Arabidopsis thaliana: one gene and its partner. The protein of the gene in region 2 interacts with the protein of the main gene of each other region in a pairwise test. Each region holds a gene or a part of one and is shown on either strand. Other genes may lie near its edges.

Region 1 (4,318 bases), on a different chromosome or scaffold from region 2:
AAAGAATACACAGCAATATATCAACAACCAAAAGTGGATCAACAAGACTTATCACTGTCAGGTAAATGAAATTGGGCCAAAAGAAGATAAAAACTATTCTCTTGATAAACCAAATGAATACAAACACACCTAGTGTTTTTGATGGTGACCAGTTAGAGCAAAAGCTACAATACTATGTACTATGAATATAAATAAAACGTGGGGAGTGACCATGCTGAATAAGAAACTTATCATGTTCTCTCTTGACCAACCCGAAAAGTGGTGAACTTAATTCCCATTGGCTTGGAGGTTTCAAAATCATATTGCAAGTTGTTGGCTTGTATGGTAGACAGCCAAAGGATTGGATATTTATGTGATAATGTGATAGGGAGAAAATTAAATGTTCAGTGATAGGTCCCCTTCTCACTTTTCTCTGGTATTGTCATCATTTAAGTGGAGCACTGTTTTGTCTATTGGTCATTTGATCCTTTGCTTCTTTTAAGAACCAAATTGGTTAAACAGTAAAACATAAGGTTTTTTTTCTTACTAGTATTAGAAGAGGAAGTAGAACATTACTACAACAAGAATACAAGTAGAAGTTAGTACAGAAGTGAAAAAAGGGTTTGCATAGGAAAACGACAGAACATTAAGAGAGGACCCAGGACAGGTGTTCCTGTGCCTTAGGAAATTGAAAGATCCTTTTCTCTTTCCGGGTCTTTTGTTTTACATCTTCTTTTTTCCCCTACAATATCTTAGTTCTACAATTTTAGGCTTAGTTATACTTATAGCTAATAAAAAAGGGTACAAACTTTTGCCATTTTTTCACTTCTTCATGAGACAATCTCAATCCCCAAAAGAGAAACAAGGACTTGTAGATTTCTCAAAATGGAGCTGTGGAAGACCGTTGAAGTGTGTTCTTTTTGGGTTGCTGAATTGCTGCAGCCATTTTTAACTGCACACACACACACACATAATAAACACACAACTGAAGTATCAGAATCTAACCACCCAAAATGTCATTGGACAAAAAAGTGTGTAAAACAAATATACTCCAGAGGCTGTCTGTCTGTCTCTTTTTATAAGTTGGTTAAACTACAAGGAATTGATCTAATGACATGAGTGCTACAAAAGGGTAAAACATTAAGAACTTGGCTCTGCTTGTTTACCTGATCTTGTTGTCTCTTGAGTCTTGCATTTTCTGCCTGCAAGTGAGCAACTTCAAGTTCTAACTCGTTTGTATAAGCCTGCAAATGAGAATCAAAACCAAGAGACCTTTTTTTAGATCAAAAGCAATTTGATGGCAAAACCACATTTCTTTTCTTCCCTTTTTGATACACATGAGTAGAAGAAGATTAGGAGGGAAGAGGAGAGGCACATTCCTGTTTCCTAGCGCGGGAACGAGCTGCAGATTCTCTGTTCTTGATCATACGCTTATGTCTTCTATTCCCTGAACCTTCATTGGAATCTTGGCCTCTTTTCTTACCAAAAGAACTGGATGGAACCAGAGCCTCGAAAGAGGTGTTGAAGGCATGAGCGTTTGAGAGGTGATGGTGGGTATGAAGATTAGAGTTTGAGGTAACAAGAGGATCTTGGTTATCGAGAAACTCGAAGCCAGCGCCGGAATTCAAGCTCAGAACAGTTGCAGGAGGTGGAAAAGGAGAGCTGTAAAGAACAGTGACCGTGGTGGAATCGCCATTAGGCGCAGAACCCGTGGTCTGGCTTGTGGGTGCTGGTTCCTGGTTCAAAGATCCTTTGAGAAAATCTTGGAAGATTGAGTTAGGGTTTTGGTTGTGGTGGTTTTGGCCCCTGAACCTTGGCTCGTGGTTGTGTTGTGGATGAGGGCTGTGTCGGTTTAGGTGGTGGATGGAAGCAAGGTTGATGTCATTCCAAACTTCTTCCATGGTGACAAGAGATCTCTTCTGGGCTTGAGAGTCTTGAGAAGGTAAAGGAGATGATGATGAGGTTGATGATGATGAAGAAGAAGACGATGGTGATGAGGATGAAATGGAAGAAACTTTGGTGAGAGTCTGGTTCTTGTTTGTAGCAGAGAGTCTATGGTTTCTCTGATGCTTAGCTGATGACAACATTGGAAAAGAGAACAGAAGTGAACCAACAACACAGCTTTAGTCTTTGGTTGTCAATTGTCTAGTAGTATCCTACACGCAGAGAGGGAGTAGAGAGAGAAAGTGGTGAGAGCTCAGAGAGAGGTTCTTGACTTTAGCCGGTCATTTCTGGAATGATGGGGTTGGGTCCAAGACTCCAGAAGAAGAGACAGAGGGATTGAACTATTTCCAATTAAATAATATATTTCAAGAAGAAGAAGAGAAATTCCATAAACTATTATATGTAATTAAAGGTGTTTGTTGATGTCTTCAACGTCAGAGTTATTATAAAGATTAAAAATGGTGTTTGATTATTTCAAAAGTGAAGTATTTTTCATCATCCTTAAATGTAAAGAGTGAGTGGGGGTGAGATGCTTGTAAAAAGCCAGGCAAATATATAAAATTATTTTTGGTTTTATCTCACTTTCTATTTTCTAATATCAAATCCCTTTGGATCACTTTCAACTTTCATGTGTGACTTTAATTTTTGTTCTTGCTCTTAGATTTAAGGAAAATTTGCCAAAATACACTTTTTTCCCCTAAGGGTATTGACGAAATAAAACATTAAAAACAAAATGAAAGTAGATAAGAATATATACATCTTTCTGTATTAGAAATAATTAAATAAATTCGTTTAAATATATAATAAAACACAAAATCCTAACTACTATACCAATAAACTCAAATGTAAAAATTTCTTCTGTTTTTTTTTTGTTTTTGGCAGCAAACATTAATTCCGTTAGAATATTTCATTCCTCTTTTCTTGATGTGGTTAATATATTTTAAACGAAGATAGAATAATATTATCGAATATAAAAAGTAGTACTTGGGTGTTCGTATATGTAATTTGTTTCTATCAAAACTAAAAGTCTGAAAATTATATGTTTGATTAGTACAAAAAAACTTTATTTTATATGAGATTCGGAGTGTTTAAGAACGGGTCATTTGCACTTAACGTTTTCTTAAATATGTAGTTGCAAACATTTCAAATAATATCGACCGTATAGTTGAAATGCATTTAAATAACAAAAATATTGTTAACTATTGAATTGTTCCCCACTTCAAATCATTGGTGTTCATGTCATCCAACGAGATTTGATCAAAGTGTCAATAGTCTGTTTTACAATACGGATAGGGAAATCAATTTATGTGGGTCTCCAACTCTGAACAAAACAAACATTACAAGTGGATAGTAAAGTATTAGATTTTATATGACCAATATAGTTTAGATATTTATGTTGATTGTTTTGAAGATTAGAGACGAATACTAAACTAGTTAATAATTAAGCCAAGTAGAAGATGATACATATTAATAAATCTTTGATCATACGTAATAAACAAATAATATGAGTACCATCCAGATATCTAGATATTCGATTATCGTATCTACTATGTAAGTCAGTCTCCAAGTGCATATCTAGTCACGCTTTTCAAATTTTTCCTTTATTGCAAGTTGATTATATATAAACTATAATAACATACGATATTTGTTTTTCTTTCCTCTTCTCTTATTCTATTCAACAAGATTAACTATTCATTTCCGTACATGTATATAATTTTTTTTCTCTGAATGTTGAAATCAGCCCTCAAGGAAACGTCCCATCTTTTGAACATGCAAAGAGTACTACATTAGGAGCTGTTTATCGAAAATGCAAGCTCCTCAAATACTCATATTTGTTAGAAGATATATATTTTCCATTTGTTGGTGAAAAGTACAAAGACTTTAATTTGTTTACATGTTTCCAAACATTGGGTTTCAAAATACATTTTGAGTTTTTAATGTGAAACACAAATTTCATAGATCTTTGTTGTCGTTTCGCAACCACCAAAAATTCGAATGTAAAGAGTAGTACTTTTGTTAGTATCGACGTCACTACGCATATTCATTGACGAAAATAAAACAAATTTTCCCAGTCTCAAATCATTTTTGCAAAATAAACTCAAAATAAAGTTGGGGTATAGTCTGTAACGAGTGAATTCAAATGTCCATTGTATCATAAAATTGTGCAGAGAACTTGTAAGTTGTATAAGAAAGGAGTGTGACATGTCACGTCTCAGGGGATTGGACAGGTGTCAGCACTATATTGCTCTGTCCCAAACTCCATCAAATCTATTTCTCTGTCTTTTAATATCCTCTTTAGTTTACTTTTAAACAATGCATATAAATGGAAACAAATTCTGTTTTAGCAAGTTATATAAAATTTTCCGGACTATCATACAACATGAAATATGCCTAC
Region 2 (3,438 bases):
AACAAGGAATGGTTATTAATGACAGTGATAAAGCGTCCTCAAGTGAAGAAGATGTTACGCATACCTGATCTGCCTCCACCTCCTCCAGGTCAACAACCTTCATTTGACCTGTTTTCAGCTCTCAAGAAAATGAAAGCCATGACACAGGACCATACACAGAACCAGATAGAACCACCTTCGCCAGTAAACCCGAGGCTTTCCTCAACATCGCTGAGTCCTGTTAGTAAGAGGCTCAAGGCTTTGGAGAGCCAAGTAAAGGGAAGGAAGAAGAATAGCAGCAAGAAGAAGTGATTTAAAACGGTGCATACTATTTTTGTTAAGAGGGCCAAACGAAAAAAATAATAAAGCTTTTGAGTCGAAAGTGAACACAGAATTTTCTCACTGATGAAACTACTCTGTGAGCTAAAAAGCTGGAGGCAGCTATTGTAAGTTTGTTTTGACCAATTATAGAATAGAAGATTGTTTTTATAGAAACATTTTGGATAACATATACTTTTTTATCTTGTTAAGTAACAGAACTTGAACAACATTGGATCTTTTTGAACATCTTGGTAATGGTTGGATTTATTCAGCACAAGCATCCATAATCTTTGTAGCTATGTTGAAGTTTATTGTTTATAGAGCAGAGTTATAATAGATAGAGTTAATAAGAAGGACGTCGTCGAGGAGCAGTTTCACGTTGGGCGTTGAAGTAAACAGCAGCAACAGGTTGAGAAAGACCAAAGTAAGAAGAGAAAGCGTTTGTGTTGAAACACTCTCTAGTTTCCGGCGCTGCCTTCACAGCTTGCCTCCCTCTCTGTTTGAATAGCGCAAAGACGTATCTGTGTATTCCCGCCACCGGTTTAGGCGTCTCATATCTCACTATCTCTCTCCCTGCAATCAATAAATCCATTCATGATCTTATCTTCATCAACATACATACATACATACATACATCCCTATTTCTCTTCCTCTTCCAAAAATGTGTTTGCTTGGGAATGTGTTTACAACCAAAGATGTGGTGGGTGAAAAAGTCTATGTAAATGTGTTATGATGTGATGTATTCTTACCAAAAGAAGCATCGGTTGTCCCGGGAATATCTGTCACCATCCTGAATTTGATGAGAACATAAAGAATACATATTATACATTGTTGTTGTAATATATGAGAAGTAATGTGATATCTTCAATCGACTTACCAATGCAGATATTCACGCATATAAGGATTACTAGGACTCGGGGCATCGGGGTCCATCATGATCTTTCGAGTTAAAAAGAAAACCACAAGATTAATGCTACAAGAGAGAACTAAATAAGGTACTTAACATATGTATTTTAAGTTTAGAAGAAAGCTAATTACGTACTAAGGTGAAGAAGGAACGAAGATCTTGGCCACCGATCTCAACGCGAGGCTTAGAGAGGAGAAGAGAAGGCGCGAGCTCGTGACCATTGGATACGATTGTGTTGGAATTGAAAGTGACTCTCATTGTCACACTTGGATTAAACATTTCGAGTACATCTCCTATCACTCTTCCCACTATTAGTGGCTCTATTTCTCTTGACATTTTTCTTTGCTCCAATGTGTTTGCGTTTGTGATTGATGCTGATTTCGTTAGAATGAAAACATGTGATAGCTTTATATAGGCTTTCTAAAGAATCTCGGGACTTGGCACAAAGTGAGAGATAGATTGTATTTTGTATGTATGTATATATCTACTATACTGAATTAGATAGTCTTCCATAAATGCTCTATTATTTTACTATTTGACATTTGTCATCTTTAGATATTGTATGTATATATCTGACATGTAATTTCTAACCATATTACTTCAATTATTGTAATTTGTTACCTATTCTATATGGTTAGAAATTACATGTTTATTTTGTTACCTATTTTAAAAAATACTTCCGTGTATGCACATAACAAAAAAAAAAAAAAAAAAAAAAAAAACTCACATGTATAGATAACAGATCAATTATCTATTGCAAAATTATCTTCACGTTTCGTATTTATTAAAACTCAATAACTATTGTCCCCATTACATTCGAATATTCGATCGACCAAATGGAGAAAAGAATAAGCCCGCGTGTCGATAAAAAAATAAAAACCAGATACTGTGATGATTGGCTTAGGAATTGATTTGTAGATATTCCAAATATGAAGAAGAGATAAAACAATAAAAAGAATGGAATCTGCTTTACAAAGACAAAGAATCTAATTAGACACTTTATAGTTTCTAGTCACAGAATCAACATGAGTTTCTCATCATGCTCAATTCAATACGTGTCCCAAATACAGTGCACCTTATTAATTTTAAATGCTTGTTTCTGTAGCCATTTTGTTGATCCGTCTTATAACCATTATCGTTGAATAGAGAGACATATTTGTTCTCTAGCAATCATCAACACTTTCATTTTCTTGAAGACACTTTACTCTACTGAGAACTAATCAGAAACCAACAAATTTACATGAGAAAATAGAAAACTATACGCTCTTACTTTCTTAGCTAAACAGTCAACGCAAACATTACTACGAAATTAAAAAAGACATAGATTCCAGTTGACGATACAAAAAAAAGTGACTAAAATTTTGTCTGAATAGAATCTAACACGTCGATGGTTAATTGGTGCTAACATAGTAACATATTAGCTTTTAGCCAAACTCAGTTATAAAAAGTTTCTTCGTGTCGTTGGAACTTGGAGATATTTGGAGTCAAAACTAGGAGCTTCTTACTAACATGTAAATTTCGACTTAAGACACACACACGTAGGGATTTCGTAAATTCAAGACAACATCGGATCATAAATTACTAAACATGTCACATGTTCGAATTTGACCAAACTATACAAAAAAAAAAAGAAAAAAAAAAAAAAGAAGAAGAAAATAAAATCTAGGGGACACATTGATATTTGCATGCGAGATTCTCTAGAGAATCCATAGTTGCTGCTTGATGGTTTGTCAAATGCCAAATGTTGTTTCTTCGTAGTGAATTATATACAGAAAGGTGGCATTGTGAACAATCTTTTCTTTTCTTTCTTTTATGAATATCTCTATGGTCCAAGAAAAATTATGCCACAAGAAAAATTAAGGTGACTTTTTCAATAGGCAAAAAGAAAAAAAAGAGGACAGGGGACAGAGAGGTGGTGGAATTGGAGTGATATTTTGTTGAGGAGATCCGATAAAATTAGAACATTATTTTTTTCAACGAAACAAATAAAGAGATGATGTCCAAGTGTGGGAACCTAATAATATCTTATCCCTTATTGACGTATGATCCGATACTATCAGTATCAGTGTACGACCATATCTTTTCCCTCTTTTATTTTGTCAGTGTACGACCATATTCTCCTTTTCATTTTGACATTCAGTGTAAATCGGTTAAACTCATTAATTCATTCATAGTAGAGGTACTAGTTCTAAAATCAGCTGAAACTTATTCTCTTTTTCATCACAAACTTT

Evidence for each region. The genes of interacting proteins can lie anywhere in the genome.
Region 1: the proteins of BFT (region 2) and FD interact in a two-hybrid assay, tested with the Arabidopsis thaliana proteins (one study listed by BioGRID).

What each region holds. Positions count from the first base shown.
Region 1 is NC_003075.7:17,002,494-17,006,811, reverse strand, and holds FD (Basic-leucine zipper (bZIP) transcription factor family protein), read right to left. Parts: upstream 2,291-4,318; 5' UTR 2,067-2,290; coding exon 1,359-2,066; coding exon of another isoform or gene 1,332-1,358; exon of another isoform or gene 1,224-1,331; coding exon 1,146-1,223; intron 932-1,145; coding exon 860-931; 3' UTR 504-859; downstream 1-503. UniProt on the Arabidopsis thaliana protein: Transcription factor required for the transition to flowering promoted by FT.
Region 2 is NC_003076.8:24,920,915-24,924,352, reverse strand, and holds BFT (PEBP (phosphatidylethanolamine-binding protein) family protein), read right to left. Parts: upstream 1,552-3,438; 5' UTR 1,544-1,551; coding exon 1,343-1,543; intron 1,240-1,342; coding exon 1,178-1,239; intron 1,091-1,177; coding exon 1,050-1,090; intron 889-1,049; exon of another isoform or gene 874-888; coding exon 644-873; 3' UTR 556-643; downstream 1-555. Other genes in the region: OXA1 (inner membrane OXA1-like protein), read left to right, coding at 26-291. UniProt on the Arabidopsis thaliana protein: May form complexes with phosphorylated ligands by interfering with kinases and their effectors.